Linked DNA regions of Lytechinus pictus. The protein of the gene in region 1 binds, or shares a complex with, the protein of each later gene. Links are inferred from orthologs where the notes say so. Each region holds a gene or a part of one and is shown on either strand. Other genes may lie near its edges. The genes, in order: PRELI domain-containing protein 1, mitochondrial-like; TP53-regulated inhibitor of apoptosis 1-like.

Region 1 (9,297 bases):
TATTAACCAATGCTACATATACAGGAAAAAAAATCAACATCAGTTATATAATTTTATATCTAGCTGCAGAATAAGCAGCTGACCAGTACCACCTATTTGTCCAATTATTACTTTACCAATACAAGTGTTATGTCTCCAAGACCCCAGATAAATTGTGAATTTAATTTTCTTCATGTATTTGTTTTGTATCTGAAAACAATCGGTGAGCAAACCAATCAGCACATGGTGCCAGCATGGGTAATTATTCAAGTTTATCCATGTTTTGAATTTTGAAAGGTTAGGGTTGCTCTTAGTGGTAATCATCAATGACCCGTATTCTGAACTCTGCTTTAACTTCAACCAGTTGGTTGCGGTTTACTATGAAAAGCCCAAAGTGGTATCAATCTCTAGAATTAGGTGATCATCACATTATTACGCATTCAAATCATTGACAAATTCTTGAAATGATAAATGAAATAGTTTCCTTCCCCATTAAACCAATAAGGACCCCAGTAAACACAAGAAGCATTACAGTGTAAACAAATTCTTGGCACTTGTGGCTTTCCATAAGTTTAGCCCAGACTAAGACCATGGCCTAAGTTGGACCTGATTTTAGAATACAGGCCAATGTATTTACCTGTATGGTCCAGGGTATTTTTGCCAGAAAGCTGAGGAGACTTGGTCCCATGAGTGTTTGAAGGTAGTAGCAGCAGTGAAGTGCTTCATTTCTCTGGACCCGAGTGAAGGAGGATCACAGGCTTTCTTGAAAATACAAGTTGTTCAGAGGAGAGGCTGGTTGCGTCCACACTCCACAGCATATGCGTCAGAATTCCCTTCAGCCTTGAGGACTTTTTTTTCATCACAATTCTATAGATGAATCAGAAGAATCATGAAAAAGCAATGTACTACATCTCAGTATATCCCCCGGGGGGGGGGGGGGGGGGGGAGGGGGACATTTCCACTGACGAGTGGATACCACACATGACCATGGTGTTTCAAAATGCACCCTAAACACGTATTTTCCATGTTCTGAAAATGCACCCCTTAACTCTTTGTGCGCTGGACCATGAACCCATCTGTACTGAATTATTTTCAGGGAGGGAAATAATGCTTTGTTTGTTGAGTGTGAAATGTGAAGTTCGCACGGCACCGAGTGTGCATTGGTGCGAAGTACGCGTGGAAAGGGTTAACAAGTATTGGCATGTGAAACCCTACCCTTAACAGGTTTTGGAAACAAAACGGTACCCTTGACAAGTATTCCCTTACTTTGACCCCCTAAACAAGTACAGCTATAGTTTAACAGCCCCAGCATTAGCAGCAATCCTTTTTCTAGTACATGCACATTTGAGTTACAATTACATCAGAAAAGCAAACAAACAAACAGCTTATGTGCAAGTTTCCCCGGGAACACCCCATCTCCAATAGGACCCTTAACACGTAGTGTTGGTGCAAAAAGTACATCTTTTATAAAAGCATTTTAGTCTTTTTATACCCTCGCAAATTGGACTGTAAACACGTAGCTTTCCTTGCGAAATATATACTTTTCATTAATATTTAAGCATTTTTGACACCCTTACATGTATTACGTTATGTACGTAACATGCCTTATCTTGAAAAAGGGATCCTTTTTAGGTGTTTCTTTGGTCACAGGTGGTATACACCCGTCAATGGAAGTGGCCCCCCCCCCTGGGATTTTGCCTTATATTCCATGAACATGGAATGTTGCTGTCTGAGGGGGGACATACGTGTCATGTGACCAATTGAAAAGTAGTGTATCAAACAAAAAGTGGTGATCTACTTCTACATTTCGCTAACCTCTAATGTTAACAGCCCTGATGAATAAGAGTCATAATGGATGTGGAGTAACTAAGAGTCACACAGCCATTCCAGTGTGAATCGCGTGACATTCACACAAAATTTCAACTTCTCAAGATCAACTTGTTTCTATTCATTTCAATTAAAGTATTAATACACATTGTCCAACAAAAATTTTGAATTTACAGTGTTTTTGTAGGAGATATTTCAATTTGTTTGTTGTGATTCGCGTGACGCGACACTATTGTAGATTCCTGACATTACTGTATATTTGTCTGTAATTTCCTTAGAGGATACTCGGCAGATTTTGATAAAAGTTTCTGAAGAGTATTTTGAAACATCTGGAAATTCTCATGTTAAAAATTAATTGATGCCTGACTTGTTTTGAGTTGATTGCCATTTGAAAATGTGACACACATGTCAAGTATCGTTTTGGACTACAAATTGACCAAATTATCATGATTTTATACAGTAAAATGGGCCAAATTTCATGCAAACAGAACATTTATGGTAATTTGCATCCCCTTTATCTTTAAAACAAAGAAATTTTAAAGTCACACTCTGATATATCGTCGCCTGAGAAGCATAGTGCTTTGACTAAAAAATGTTGTCCCCTGTTTTTTTGTTTTTACATATCACCTTTTAAAAGTTTCCTTTCGTTTCATGAATTCAAATATCTATCAAGATATCCATCAGAAACATAATTGACATTAACTCTTTTTCGCACAATTCCCGAGAAGCAGTTGGCATTAACTTGTATAGTGTTTGTGCGCATATTGTACGCTAGTACATGTAGATGCTTCGCTATGCACACTTGACATCATAATAAAGGAACATGCAATTACGACTAATCAGCTATACATGTAGGTATCAGCTGATTTTTCACTGTATGTTTTGCAATCTAACTGCAGATCCGATTTGTAGCTAATTATTAGCTGAAAATAATCTACAGAACAATGTTTTTTAATATAATTTTTGAACACTTTACTCTTATATCAAGTGCTGCAAAGTATGATGAATATGACCTCGAATAAATGGTGGAGTGGTTTAGAACATTTCCTCACATAGATAAAATGCCGAATTCTTTTGAATGCGCAATAAAAATATAGAGACGTTTCAATTGGGTAGAGTTAAAAGCTCGATAGCAAAAAAATCAAGCTCAAGATGAACCCATTTCAATTTTTTGCAAATACATGTATCCTAAGAGTAAGACTGGTGCGCATGCTAACGTTATACAATTTACAAATAATGCATGCAGCCGAGGGCGTTAGTGGAAATGCAGAGCACGCAAGGTTTCTTTAGATAGGTGCCGCACTGTGCACGAGCAGCTGGCGGCGAGTGCCCAGTGTGCACCATCTGAAGAAACCGAGCTTTCTCTGCATTTACTTATTACGCACGACAGAGCAAGTGCATTATTTGTTTTATAAAATAGCAACACAGAAACAAATCCTTAAAAAGTCACAGTACAGTACTGCAGTGGTCTGCTTGAGCGTGCAATGTCAATTTTCGTTGCGCACCTTTTGCACTGCCGTGCATTGCACACAAAAAGTTGGATGTTATGTGACGCGTATTAGCCAATCGCGATGCTTGAATTTGAAATAATAGTAATACACCTATTTTATAAAACCAATCAATGCAATGGTAACTCTGTGCAAAACTTGGTGAAAATTACATACATTTTGATTATATTATTATTGTGGAATACCTTAGCAGTTCCCGCATGACCCAAATTTCAATGCACACACACATAAAAAAAACTGAGAAATTGTTGATTGAGTTAGATTGGTCTTTTCTACTTTTGTGATCATTTTAAAAATCAATCAATGACAATGCACATGCACAAATTATGTTATACCCACTCATCCTACGAACAAGGTTATATGGCCAATATATAAATTATATAACATATAAATATGATGAAATACATGTATCACGGAGTCCTTTACTTAGCCTTAACGACGTTAGGCTAGGCCCACTCACACAACATGCGAGGATAGGATTATTAGGAAGCATCGACAGACAAGTACCGGTAGTACCATACTCACATTTCAGCATCTGGGACTACACAACAATTACTGCACTCTTCACGTGCCAAAATATCATCATCATGTAGGGAAAGCAGAATAGAAAATATTTCATCAAATAACAGACTACTTGATTATTCAAATATAATAATGAAACTTACGGCAAACTTACTTCTCATTTCTAAAAGGCAACTTTGTTCCATTAAATAGACAAAATGGGATGGGAGCGACGACGCGACGAATCTTGCATGGAACCAGTGACGTCATAAAAGTAGCTAAATTTTGCACGTACGATTATTTTTGCATTGATACTAATTTTTTTTAAACGGTTTTTAGTAATAGTTGTATAGTCTGCAAAAAGAGGAAGAAGAGAAGGAGAAGAAGATGATCGGAGAAGACGAAGAAGATCGAAGAAGAAGAAGAAGATCGAAGAAGAAGAAGAATTAGAAGAAGAATTAAGAAGAAGAAGAAGAATTAAGAAGAAGAAGAAGACGGAGGAGGATGATCGAGGAAGAGGAGGAGGAGGAGGAGGAGGAGGAGAAGAAGAAGAATTCAGAAGAAGAAGAAGAAAGAGGAAGAGCGAAGGATCGAGACGAAGAAAAGAGACGAAGGAGAAGATGAAGAGGAAAAAAAGAAAAAAAAAAGGAGGATTAAGAGGCCGGATCTAGAAGAAGAAAGCTCGTCATATACTCATTGCATAAATTTATTGATAAAGTAAAATATCAATATGATATTTATCCGATTTTGGGAAATATTTCATCATGTTGATGAAATCACTCGATCTACATGTATATCACTGTCAGCATACAGAGTGGGCTTATACGCATAGGGGTGAATCCAGCATTGTAATAATAATAAATAATACATGAGATTTATATAGCGCACTTTCCATCTTGATTAGATGCTCAAGGCGCTTCAGAGCAGAACAACAAAATTATTTACATATAATACATGTCTGAACAATAAGTCAATATCTATCAAAAAACACTCTTATACATGGTATGTTTTCAGGTTGCCCTTGAAGGTGGTCACTAGCTGTAGATGGGGGTGGGGGGGGGGGGGAGGAGGGTGCATGGGGGTTTCCATATGCCGGTGTCTTATACATAGTAGTCTGTCAGCCTAAACTTTTTTTATCCCCCTGAAACTTGTTCCTGGAGCAATGTCCCCCTCCCCCTATAAATGGCTCGTTTGAATCCTCAGATTAAGGTAGGGCCTATACCCGGGGAAATACGCTTAAAGTACGTGTGCTTGAAACTTGACGGGTGGGGGGGGGGGGGGGGGGGGGCCGGGGGACCTTATTCAGTCTGAATCGCCTATGAAACCTTTTGTAGGCCTATCCTGTGAAAGTGCCCGGGATAATATAGTACGCTTTACGCGTGCTCACATAGGGAAACCCGTTTGTCATGTTAACAAAAAAAGAAAAAAAAAACTTGAAACAAAAATCTGTGCCCAGGGCGCAGTGCATGACTATCCTACCTCTAGTTCCCCCCTCTAAAGTAAAGGAGATAATACATGGGCGTCAGATATCTTTACAGTTCTCTTTTGTTGTTGTTGTTGATATTTTGCGGGTGGGGGTGTTATCAAAAGTTCGCTTAAGGACGTTCCACAGTTAAAGTGAAATCCATGTCATTTTCACCAAACTTTGCACATAGATACTTTAGAACCTTAATATTCGAAATATGCAAAAATTAACATAGGTCCATGTGCTTGATTTTTTGCTATAGAGCTTCAAAGTTCACCCAAATTGATGTTCTTAAGAATTGCGCATTCAAAAGAATTTGGCATTTTTAGACCGCCCAAGATTACTACAATGAGTTTAAACCTCTATTACTCAGTCAAAATACATGAAAAAGTCATCAAATTTCGCAAAAGAGTTAATAATTGTATCGTTCGAAAGGAGAATCTAGTTAAAGTGCTATTTGTTTTCAATTTTAAGTTTAACAGCGCTGGCAGTTCTTAAAAAAAGGCGGAAACTATAACAAAACCCCAATCTAAAAAATGTAAAATTTTAGTAACAAACTACAAACGTACAATAAATGCTGCACTTTATTCAAAATCCATGTCATTTTCACCAAAATTTGCAGAGTTGTAGAGGAAGGTATACCTAACAGGTACAAACTTTAAAAAATAGGGGTCCATGTGCTTGTTTTTAAACTATTAGCATTTTTATTAGAGCAAATGTGCTTTTTAAAACACCAAAAATGCGCCGAATGCTTTGTATCTATGTGAAGAAAAAATCAAAACCACTCTACCATTTATTCAAACTCGGGGTAATATTCCTGATTCTTGGCAGCAATGCAGAGTAAAGTATTTTGAAATTGTAGAAATTTTTTTTTAATGGTCCATGGAATAATTCCATTTTTAGCTTCATGAAATAACGCATCGGATCTGCAGTTAAAGTGCAGAATATGAGAAAAATCAGCTCATACCCGCAGCTAATCAATCACCTGTTCATCCATTGTGACGTCAGCGCGCAGAGTGTAAACTATGCGCAGATCATAATGCGCACAAACATAACTGTGGAACGTCCTTAATTGCTAAACTTTGATTTCGTAATCAAAATATATAACTGCAGATCTGTTGAGATCTTTTTAGGCTAATTATGTTTGCATATTCCTTGAAGACTGTGATTTGGTTTTTCTTCATTAGTTAGAGATCATGTTCTTCAGTCGCCTGTACCATGGACCTACTACAGGTCCATGCCTATACTGATGGGGGTGATTACAGGCGTATATATATATATAATGTATACATATGTATGTATATATAATTATATATATATATATAAGCATCTTGGTTTTCCACGTATTGGCAATAATAATAATAAGACATCAGAAATGCGAAACAAATTCACGAGTAATGCAGTTTTTGAAGTGCCAACAATTAAGTTCTTTTATTCACTCTCCAAATTTTCGGTAGACATCTACCTTCTTCAGGGAAGAATTCACGAATCTTCCCTGAAGAAGGTAGATGTCTACCGAAAATTTGGAGAGTGAATAAAAGAACTTAATTGTTGGCACTTCAAAAACTGCATTACTCGTGAATTTGTTTCGCATTTCTGATGTATATATATTTCTGATATATATATATATATATATATATATATATATATATATATATATATATATTTACATATATATGTACATATAATATTGAGTTTTATTCAATAAAACGTACGTGCCCTTTGGACCACTGGTGTCAATTAACACAGATGAGACACACATACTCGTCCCTCCCAAAAAAAATGAAATAAATAGATTTAAAAAAAAAACCCAATAAATTAGGCGCATTAGGGTATGACCCCTATTTTTCTGGAAATCTCGATACATGCCCCACACGCGAGTTTAACATTCAAATAACATTCAACTAATAGGCAAACTCTTCACCAAAATCATTGTCATCGTACATACTTTCATTCATATCAATTCTTCATATTTATAAATGAGTAAATATATCAACACATAAAGCCAAATGATTACAATGTCAAATCAATTGGGGTTTACATTGACATTTATTTTTTAGGAAATAGTTTAAAAGACATAGATATGAAATGAATAATTTAGAAAATTATACTATACTATTGAGATAGAAATAATAATAATAACAATAGCTGGATTTATATAGCGCTTTGTGCCTGAGGATACAAAGTGCTTTATTCCGCACCCCGGCTTTAGCTCGAGCTACCATCACCGGTGCTCAGTGCATGCAAGGAATTAATCCTGCCGGGTACCCATTCACCTCATCTGGGTCGAGTGCAGCTGCAGTGTGGATAAATTTCTTGCTGAAGGAAAACACGCCATGGCTAGGATTCGAATGTCAGAACCACTAGACCTATAGACGCGCCTAGTCACACAATTAAGGACCGTCACCCCGAATATTGGCTAACAATTATATAGCGCAGTCACAATTTCCTCATGGCGGCCGTTTGGCGAGTCGAAAACAGCCGTTTTAACATTTTACAGGTGGTTTGAAAAAATAATGTTTTCGACTCGCCGTACGGCCGCCGTAGGGGAAATGTGACTGAGGTATATCTAGACACAAGGTGTCAAACTGTCGTAAGAAAGTTTTGGTTGTCCATAACTCCAGAAATTGTTTTAACAGTGGATTTGTCAAGAAGAATAGAAAATGTTGTTCTTTTAGATAAATTTAAAAGCTTCTATAAAATTCGTGTGACACAAAAGAAGGATTTTAAGAGAATTATTTTATTCATTTGGTTGTTCATAACTCGAGAGATTGTTTTAGCAGTGGCCTTTGTCAAATCCTCCTCTTATTTTAGATGAATTTGGAAGAAGCTTCTAGAAAATTTGAAATTGATATAAAAAGGCTAAGACATCCTTCTGGAATTTCAGAATTTAGGAGCCAAGAATTTATCTCCGTGCATAGTTTACCGTTATCATGTTTATGCATGTGGAATCAAGTATTATTTAGTTTCTGAGGAATTATTCTCATTTCTTAACCTAACTGTTAGCAACTATTTTTTAAGAGAGGCCGGAATTAACAGTACATGACCATCAACCTCTTTAGAACGTTTTTATCAACCAATGAGTTGCTGAAATCAACTGTTTATCATCAACTTAATCCTCAGGCATACATTTTAGTACTGTAACAGTTTAGCTCAGTACAGTGACTGTGATCACCCATCGCAATTCAACATCACTTTCATCATCGCCAGCATTGTGGACTACAATTGACGGAGTCTTTACCATCGCCATTTTGGATTAGTACGTAGGACTCTGATTTGGATCCTTTCTATGGACTAACTGTTTATACCTTTTACACTTCGTAATTCCGAAGGTTCGTAATTCCGAAACACGTAAATTGCCCATACCTCGATGTTCGTTAATCCGAAAACGTAAAAGGGTTCGTTAATCCGAACATTTGTGGCGTTATTCCGAAGGTTCGATAATCCGAAAACGAAATAAGGTTCGATGTTCCGAAGGTTCGTCAATCCGAAAACGAAATAAGGTTCGTTGTTCCGAAGGTTCGTTGATCCGAAAACGAAATAAGGTTCGTTGTTCCGAAGGTTCGTAAGTCCGAAAACGAAATAAGGTTCGTTAATCATTAGTTTTAGGATCAACGAACCTTCGGAATTACGAACCTCATTTCGTTTTCGGATTAACGAACCTTCGGAATTACGAACCTCACTTCGTTTTCGGACTAACGAACCTTCGGAATTACGAACCTCATTTCTTTTTCGGACTAACGAACCTTCGGAATTACGAACCTTCGGAATAACGAACCTTCGGAATATCCGAACCTTCGGAATAACGAACCTTCGGAATTACGAATGTATGCGGGAATGGTTGTATCCTTTTTTTAAATTTATCATTGTTATTATAGTTATATTAATTTGACATTTGAATTTATTATGTTACGATACAAATGCATCGCGACAAACAATTCCGTTCCGTCATGAAAGACCGCTGTAGATGCATAATGTCATGGAAACAATGATGGTGGAGTGCGTTTAAATTCACTC
Region 2 (9,222 bases), on another chromosome or scaffold:
CATGAAAAGGTGATTTTTTTCTCGCTCGCTCGGGACTTATATATTAAGCATCTTTGCCGCACGTGCCATGCTGTGCCCCCTCTTTTTCGTAATTATCACGCATTGAGCTAATGCTCGGGCACAACATAAAAAATTCTGTTTATACCATGATATGACCGGGAAATTTTTGGCTCTTGCATGTATTTCCCTGTAAATGGTAAACAAACATTATATAAATTAGCCAATAATTTGATTGAATTCAATTTTCCAATCAAATACAAATGAAATTCAAAACTATTTAAGATCATCAAAATAGTTCCAATTGACCCGTTGCCATAGTACCGGCTCATTTTCCCCCAGAAAAGTACAAATTTTGATTTTAAGTTGTAGAATCAGTTTTTTGTTTCATTTTCCCTGCGTTTAGGGTGTGATAAACAGAGGAGTGATTTTTTTCTATATGTATAAATACAATCTCATTCCATTGCCATGGCAACCAAGTGATACCTAATTTGGTAAAATAAGAAATAACATGGTAAAAAAAGATAATGGCGGGAAATACAATAAAACCGACCTAATCTATATGCGTTGGGTTTTATTTATAACAAAAACTACAGTAAGTGTTCTGCATGAGTTTATTGGAATGATAGGAACTGATGTTGCCTTGACAATGCTTGAATGTAAAGATAGATATCAATATTTCAAATGGCCCGTTGCCATGGTAACAGCTTATTTTATTCAGAAAAGTATACATTTGATAAAAACATTATAGAATCTGATTTTCTTTCATTCTAGGGTGCTCAACATAATATGCTTGATAATGTAAAAATACCACCTCGGGCCATTTTCAATGTATAGGCCTATAATCATATCGACATAATTATGTACTCAAATACTGGACAATTTTTTAAGAAAAATGGTTCTTAGTGCTATTCTGCATGAAATCCAGTAATGTAACTCCAAAATGACCGCAGTCATTCTGAGTAAAGTGATTTGGGTGTTTTGTGCTAAAAAGAGTTCAACATAAAGGGGGATATACACTTAATAAATGAAAATTTAAAACTATATCAGGAGGTGATGTAGTCTTGACCTCCTAATCAGAGATTATTGCCATTGAGGTAAAAATAACTTAGAATTCTTTTATTAAATGAATGGGTTTTTCATGAAAGTCCCACATTGAGTCTAAAAATGAAAGAATTTTACCTAATTATCCTCAAAAGGTCAATTATATCTAATAGGAGGGCAGGATTACGTCCATTCGCCAAATGAACTTTGGCGTTATATTATCTTGAACAGCTTTCTAAAAAAAAAAAAATACATGCATTTTAACATTTATAGCACTTCTTCATAAAATCGGACTCTATTTTTTTTTCAATTTATTCTGTTCTTGTCTAAAATGAGCCGTAACCAACCATGGCACCGGGCCATTTGCAACATTTATATTTATAAATACATTGTACAATGAAGCGTTGCCAAGGGAACATCAAATTGCATCTTTCTGATGAATCCATGCAGAATACTTACCGTAAGTTTTGACGCATGTAGATTAGGTCGTTTTTACATCACAGAATTAACTTTTTCTACATGTTATATTTTTACCAAATAAGTTGGTATTTGGTTGCCATGGCAATGGTCTGAGATGGTACTTACACATTTACCAACAATCAACCTAAGCTTATCAGAAATGAAAGGGAAAAATGCGACTTTACATGCCTTTATCATTTTACCTCAATGGTTCAAAGTAGAGCAACAAGACTATTTCCAGGATTTAGATAGAATCTTATAGTGTTAAACTGAATCTGTACTCCTTACCGCATAGAACGAGGGGACGTAGTCCAGGATAGGCCCCATAGACAAGGGGTCGAACCTTGTTTTTTTAGATATACAATGTTTTTTGATGGTTTCTTGTCAATTCGAGGGTGCTGATTCCGAATCTGAATGATGCCACTCTTGTAACCTTGAGCATTTTCCGCAAATTGGCAAAATCCAATATGGCCGCCAAAATATGCAAATTACCCATGAAAATCATAAAATTGCCAACACATTAGCTATAAAATGCATGTAGTTGTTGTGCAGAAGTGAAATACCAATTGGAAAAGCGATATTTGACAAAATATTTATTTTATTGATATTCAAAATGGCCGCCATAACCCCTGTATACTTTATTACTTTAGCTCGAGCTAAAGCCGGGGTAATAATAGCAGCGCTTTGTATCCTCTGGCAAAAAGCGCTTAATAAATCCAACTATTATTATTATTATTATTATGTAGAATATGAATGGGGAAAATATTTTTTCAAACAAGAACACTATTATTGCATGTGATTGTGACCTGCGAGTGGACTACTGTCTGAAAACATGACTATTAACAAAACTATGTCATTTGTATACTATCTAATGTGATAAATGCTGTATTATGATATTCAAAATGGCTGTCATTATAGACCCCTTATACTGTGTACAATATATAAAAGGGGACAAATAATTTTCACAACCTTTGAATTTGTTTGACTTTAAAATGCCAATAACTGCGAAATATTGGTGTAACACTGTCTGACAACAAGGATTTCTAACGAAACATATCATTTCCCTTGCAATTTCGGTAATTATGCTGCATGTTGACATTCAAAATGGCTGCCATAGGCCCTATCTGTATTATGAACAAAGCGAATAAAGAAACTAATTTTTACAAGAGTAAAAACAATAAAATGAATGTAATTGTAATCTATACGAGTGAAATATTGTCTAAACACATGATTTCTGGCGAAACATATCATTTAATTTTTCATGCATGAGATAAATGCTGTATTGTAAAATTCAAAATGGCCCCTATGGGCCCTTACAGTATTATCTACAATGTAAATGGGGACAAATACTTTTGAAAGAATTAGGATTTGCCTGACTATGAAATCCATATAATTCTGTTGTATAAGGAAAATATTGTTTGAAAACGTGATTTTTTTAATGAAATATAACATTTCCTCTCCCATAGGTGATAAATACTGTATTTTGACTTTCAAAACGGCCGCACAAGCCCCTACAAATTCTGTAACATGCGTATAGGGAAACTAATCATCACCAGAATGAGAACCAAAAACGCACGTAACTATGTGATGTATAGGTAAAATTTGGTCTTGAACATGATTTCTGACTAAATACATCACATAATGATTGAGAAGGTAATAAAGGCCTTACTTTGAAATTCAAAATTGCTGCCATAGCCCAAAGTAGTATGTACATTGTAACTGGGGACAGATAATTTTGACAAATTTTTTACTATGAAAATGGCTTAATTTTGATGTAAGTGTTAAGTATTGTCTAAACCCAATGATTTCTAACGAAATATATCATAGCTTGTGTCATAAAGGTGATGAATGCAGCCTTTTAAAAATGAAAAATGGCCGCCATAGTCCCTTATCTTAATATGTAAAATTTGAATGGGGAAAGATAATTTCCACAAAGAAACATATTGCAGCCATTTTGAAATTTAAATATAGCATTTATCACCTAAATAACATAAGAAATGATCTATTTGGTTACAAAATCATATTTTCAGACGATATTTCACTCATACATGCAACACCATTTAGTCAAGCAAAGCCAAATTCTGTTAAAATTATATGTTCCCATTCACAAAGTACATAATAGGCCTACTGTTATGGCCTGTAGCGGTCATTTTGACTTTCAAAATACATTATTTATCACCTACCTGGCAGAATGAATGATATATCTTGTTAGGAATTATGTTTTCAGACAATATTTTACTCTTAAATCACAATTATATGCATGTTATGGTGCTGACTCATGTGAAAATTGGTTTCCCAGATCGATTGTACATAATACAGTCAATGTCTTTTGGCGGCCATTTTGAAAGTCAAAATACAATATTTAACACAAATATGAAACCCGAATAATATATTTCGTTGCAAATTATATTTGAAGACAGTATTCCACTAATTTACCACAAAAAATACGTTTTAGTGCTCACCTTGTGATTGTTTTTGTCCTCTCTCACATCGTAGATCATAATTTTAGGGCCTTTGGCGGTCATATTAAATATCAAAATACAGGGTTTATCACATACATGGCATGTTAAATAATAAATTTCGTTAACAAAAATGTTTTTAGTCAGTATTCCACTCGTTTATCTCAACAAAATGCATTTTAGTGCTCACTCTTGTGATTTTTTTGTGTCACCATTCACATTGTACATAATAGTGTTAGGGCTTTTGAAGGCCATTTTGAATATCAAAATACAGGATTTATCACATAACTGACATAACAAATGATATATATCGTTAGCAATCATGTTTACAGACATTGCTTCACTCATAGATCATAATTACTTGCATTTCAGTGCTCAATTTTGTAAAAATTAATTTTCCCCATTCATATTGTACAGGGGTCTATGATGGCGGCCATTTTGATATCAAGAAAATAAATATTTTGACAAAAATCATTTTTTCAGATATTATTTCACTCTGGCAGCACAATTGCATGTACTTTAAAGCCAATGTGTGGACAATTTTATGATTTTCATGGGTAATTTGAATATTTTGGCGGCCATATTGGATTTTGCCAATTTGCAGAAAATGCTCAAGGTTACACGAGTGGCATCATTCAGATTCGGAATCAGCACCCTCGAATTGACAAGAAACCATAAAAAAACATTGTATATATAAAAAAACAAGGTTCGACCCCTTCTATCCTGGACTAACGTGATAGAAGTATTTAAATATTGTATGGTAGAGTCGATTCAGAATCCCTCTTCAAGAGATCCCAATACCAGGGAACAAGAGGTCATCCCTTCAAACTGTTCACTACTCACTGTCGGTTGAACACCCGCAGCATTTTTTTGTCAGTAAAAGAGTGGTCCAATCTTGGAATAGTTTGCCTGCAACACTAGTAATGTCCTCCAGCATCGACTCATTTAAACACGTATACCCAGTTGTTGTGTGTCCGGACAGGTTGTGTGTCCGGACGATCAATTTTAGAAAGTCATTTGGAAAAAATTACAAGCGAAGTTTCATCAAATTTTAGTAAAAAATTTTAGAAAATATTATAGAGAACAAAATAGAAGATGATTACAACTATTGAATTCATATTTTTAGTGTAATCTTATGACAAAAAAGAAGGCTTCAAAAATATAAAGTGTCCGGACACCCGATCCCCCATCCTACGGACGGATTAGATTGTCTGACATCCACCCCGCACTGTACTTGTTAGACTTTAATTATACATCAAGTGTACGTGTTTACGACCGGGAGATAGATCTACAGGCCCGCTCTACAGGACTACCTACACTCCCGTACAGATGATGATGATGATGATAGACTCATTGGACTCTTTTAAATCCAAAATTACTCAAAAACCTAGTAAGTAAGTGACCTGCTAACTTGGTGATCTCACACTCATCATCAATAAAGTTGGCGGAGTACAGCAAGTCTGCATATGCCATAGAGATGTATACTAATTATATGGCATATGCCCAGACAAGACAAGATGATCTGCTTTCATTTATCAATTCAAATTTATTTGTAATTTGATTCGTTGATTGTACCATACTCCGGTAAGGACTTTCGGTAGCTATCAAGGGAGAAATCGTCGAATTCTGAGACTGCGGAGGCTCATGTGTAACATCAAACCTCCTGAAATCGTAGCCATAGGTAAGTCATACAAAAATCGACATCTTTTTAAATAATTTGCCAGAGGTTACTAAGCCATGGCCCATGGCATGCATGGCCAGCTTGATCACGTTTACACACTACAGTCCCATTCGCTTAATATTGTGTTTCTGTTCTTTGTTCTCCCACTCCCAGCCAGGCAGTGACCGATGACCAGGCATAGTTAGTATGGTAGTACGGTACTAGTAGATCGTATTACCGTCACCGAACACTTTTCATGAATTTAATCATATCAAACACATTATTCTCATAAAATTCACCAAACTTTCTACATAAATACACAATTACCTACAAGATATAAATATGTAAAAATTTTGCCGAAATTGTTTAGGCCTATCCCTTTTACGATATTACTTAGCTTCCAATCGGACCCCTCTTCGGATGTGAAATATTTTGGTCACTTGAAAAAGGTATCGTATTACCGAACGTGTGTTTTCTATGGGAAAAGTTGAGAAAACAACAAAATCACCGATGAGCCATTTTGACCATATTTTTTTATTATTTTTAGAATATTAAGACTTTGAAAATGTGTTTTTGACCATTTTTCATCATCTTTTTATTCAATTATTGAACTTTGAAGTTCCCCTTGGAAGGATGTTGCAAAGTTTTAGTCTCATGAAATTATTTTCTGACGCGTACGATGCGCGCGTTCGGTAATACAATGCCGGTCGGTAATACAATCACTCACTATACACGTAGCCAGGCGGCTTCTTGAGAGTAAAAATCATTTACTAACGTATGCTTACTCTCAATGAAGCCAGGGATTCCTTCCTATTCATCTGCGTGTACCGCCAAAAAACCTGATACTTTCGCCCCTGAGATTTCTACTTTCCTTCTAAAACATCTAGCCATAACTTTAAGCCAGGCATAAATCATGCCCTGTACATCACTTAGGCCTACATGAGATAAAACTTCATTTCCGACATTTCTACGCTCTCGGTTTTATTTTTAAACAAGAATTCATTAAAAAAATGAGAAAAATATTGTGAAAAGACGGAAGAGACTTGCCCGATGTTTACGCCGCCATCTTGTTTCCTATTGTACTTCCCCAACGTTACGGACACGTGCGTCGCTAAAAATGAGCTTGCGCTAGTGATGTTTTTTATTTGATCGAATGGAGTAGAGTGCGGTCACGATGTTTGGATTGTCATGATTATAGCTAAGTGGGGTTGAGATCGTGTTTTGTGGCTAGAAAGTATTTGTATTTTGTTGAGATTTTGGAGTAACTGTTCCCTGCAGTTTGAGGAAAAATATGTTTTCCTTGATTTTCCGTTTGAAAAGCCACTTTCTAAAGGCCGTTTCTGTGAATTCCATGAAATCGCGGAAAATCACTGTGTCCCTACATAATAGCGGGAATAAGCGGGTATTATCGACAACGAGAGAAAGGTTATTGATATCGCTAAGTGGCAAAAAACAAGCGATTATCGACAGGACTAGCGATAAAGACGTTATCGATAACAGGATTAACAGCCCTATTGAAAACTACATTTAGTGTTTAAAGGGGAATTCCACCCAGACAAAAAGTTGATTTGAATAAAAAGAGAAAATATTCAAATGAACACTGAAAATTCAATTAAAATTGGATGTGAAATAATTTTTTTTAATTTAAGTTTTGCTTATTCCCAAAACAGTTATCTGCACAACTCATTGATTTGAAAATGAGAGAATAACATTTATTATTTCTTTTTTTATTTGTTGTTTGAAGTATGAAATATTATTATCTCATGATTATCAAGTTTTATTTCTTTCCAAACAATCATGAAGAGGGTCCTTATTGTCAAACCTGTAAAAATTGAAATATATAAGTTAGACAATAAAAAAAACACTTGTGTGACATAATCAGTCCTCTCTTTTGCCTATCACTGAGTTGTGCATACAATTATATAACTCTTTTTTGTGAAAAAAATAAGTGAAACTTGAAATGTCATAACTTTCTTAATTCACATCTGATTTGATGGAATTGTCAGCATTGTGCTCTATTGATTGGAATCAATATTTTCTGAGGTGGACTTGTCATTTGATTTTGTTATAATTTCAGAATATTTGTAGCCACCCTATAGTTTCCTTATATATCAAATCATTAAATTTGAAAGTTACAGTGTTTAAAGTTTTCTTTTGAAAGAAAAATAAATGTAGTACTGAGAGAGGGTGCTAAAAGATCAACTGCTGAAGTGAAAAATAGGTCCCAGTGGACCCTATGCTATTTTGTAATGTTGGAATGTTAAATGTTACTTGAGTATCATACTGGGCCTTACCAAAGATTTAGATGGCCTTTGATATACATGTTTTAATGTCTTTTACTTTGAAGCACTTGACCCGAAACAAAAACATCTCTAAAGAATAGTGAGATGAAAAAATAATTTATTCAAGGCCCTCGCCCACTGGGGTTCTGATATCTGGCCAACATAGCACCACACATTGTGCATTTAATGGGTCTAGACAGTGGTGACAATGTCTATTATGATGTCACAATTTGAATAGTATTTTCTTTGACCATACAGCCATTTTCTTTGGGGGGGGGAGGGGGTGACCAACCAAGGCATAAAATAATGCTATGTAATGTACACTGTATATATTGTTTATCTCCTTCAGACAATCTAAAAAATGAATAGCCTGAGTCCTGACTGTACAGAATTAAAACATGCATATGATGCATGCTTCAACAATTGGTTCAGTGAAAAGTTCCTGAAAGGAGACTCAAAAGATGCATGTGGGGATCTTTTCAGGAAATATCAGGAGTGTGTCAAGGTCGGTATAGTGTACATTTAATTAAAATCAATGTTATTTCTTTGATGACATTTCTGGATATCAGTATTTATTTATTTACTCTTTGTTGTTGTGTCATTAATAGTAATACAGCCTTAATTTTCAATATTTGTATGGCACAGTGAATTTTCAGATGGGAAAATTTACAAGCAGTGTTATTTTGTGTAGAAGATGTAATATTCTAGTCTTTCTACTTCTATGATTTACTTACTTTTGCATCTAGTGGCATCCCTGCCCCTTAATTTGTTGCAAAAATAATCACCTACAATATCGTTATAATTATGTTTGTTATAGGTCTACTGATCGACAATCAGCTCATATTATTGTAGAGAATTCTCCAAGCAATTTGTGGTTAACTTACTGGCCCGTATTCTGAAGTCAGGTTAACTCTGTGCCAAAAGTGTCAAATTTTTTATTAAGTTGTATATTTCTTATGTTTACTGTGCTCTTTCCTGATTCATCGATGGTGAAGACAATCATCTTTTTATACTTCCTAGACAATTATGAATGACTTGAGAGGCAAAAGAGCTGAAATATGATATCTCTACTGTTAGTAATTTATGTAACAATTGGCTATCCATACTTAAACCACAACTTTAAACCTGGCAGTCAGTCCGCAAGCCCCTGTGTTAATGAGCAAATGAGCAAGATTTATCCAAGTCCTCTCGTGGCTGAATTCATGTCCCTGCAAAATCTCGTGAATCGTGAGACTTTCTTTCTCAAAGAATTTAACCACTTTCTCCTTGAGTAATATTGATTATTTTTGTACCATGGGCAAGAGTAAATGTTACTCTTTTA

Evidence for each region.
Region 2: the proteins of PRELI domain-containing protein 1, mitochondrial-like (region 1) and TP53-regulated inhibitor of apoptosis 1-like are in contact, whole or in part, in a crystal structure (PDB 6I3V), measured with the Homo sapiens proteins. The link is inferred for Lytechinus pictus from reciprocal best matches to the Homo sapiens genes PRELID1 and TRIAP1. Residues at the interface, in NP_037369.1 of Homo sapiens: Trp15, Asp16, Phe19, Ala20, Trp23, Gln24, Tyr26, Pro27, Val34, Leu35, Thr36, Glu37, Asp38, Ile39, Val40, His41, Arg42, Val44, Gln48, Lys49, Leu50, Leu51, Ser52, Arg53, Leu55, Thr57, Tyr79, Leu81, Asp83, Ser84; in NP_057483.1 of Homo sapiens: Met1, Asn2, Ser3, Val4, Lys12, Tyr15, Asp16, Phe19, Asn20, Trp22, Phe23, Phe27, Leu28, Gly30, Asp31, Ser32, Phe41, Tyr44, Gln45, Val48, Gln49, Ile52, Ile57, Pro58, Ile59, Leu62, Glu63, Phe64, Met65, Gly66.

What each region holds. Positions count from the first base shown.
Region 1 is NC_087256.1:24,311,595-24,320,891, reverse strand, and holds the start of PRELI domain-containing protein 1, mitochondrial-like, read right to left. Parts: upstream 4,092-9,297; 5' UTR 3,991-4,091; intron 847-3,990; 5' UTR 706-846; coding exon 617-705; intron 1-616. UniProt on the Homo sapiens protein: Involved in the modulation of the mitochondrial apoptotic pathway by ensuring the accumulation of cardiolipin (CL) in mitochondrial membranes.
Region 2 is NC_087246.1:5,000,673-5,009,894, forward strand, and holds the start of TP53-regulated inhibitor of apoptosis 1-like, read left to right. Parts: upstream 1-5,549; 5' UTR 5,550-5,640; intron 5,641-8,250; 5' UTR 8,251-8,262; coding exon 8,263-8,406; intron 8,407-9,222. UniProt on the Homo sapiens protein: Involved in the modulation of the mitochondrial apoptotic pathway by ensuring the accumulation of cardiolipin (CL) in mitochondrial membranes.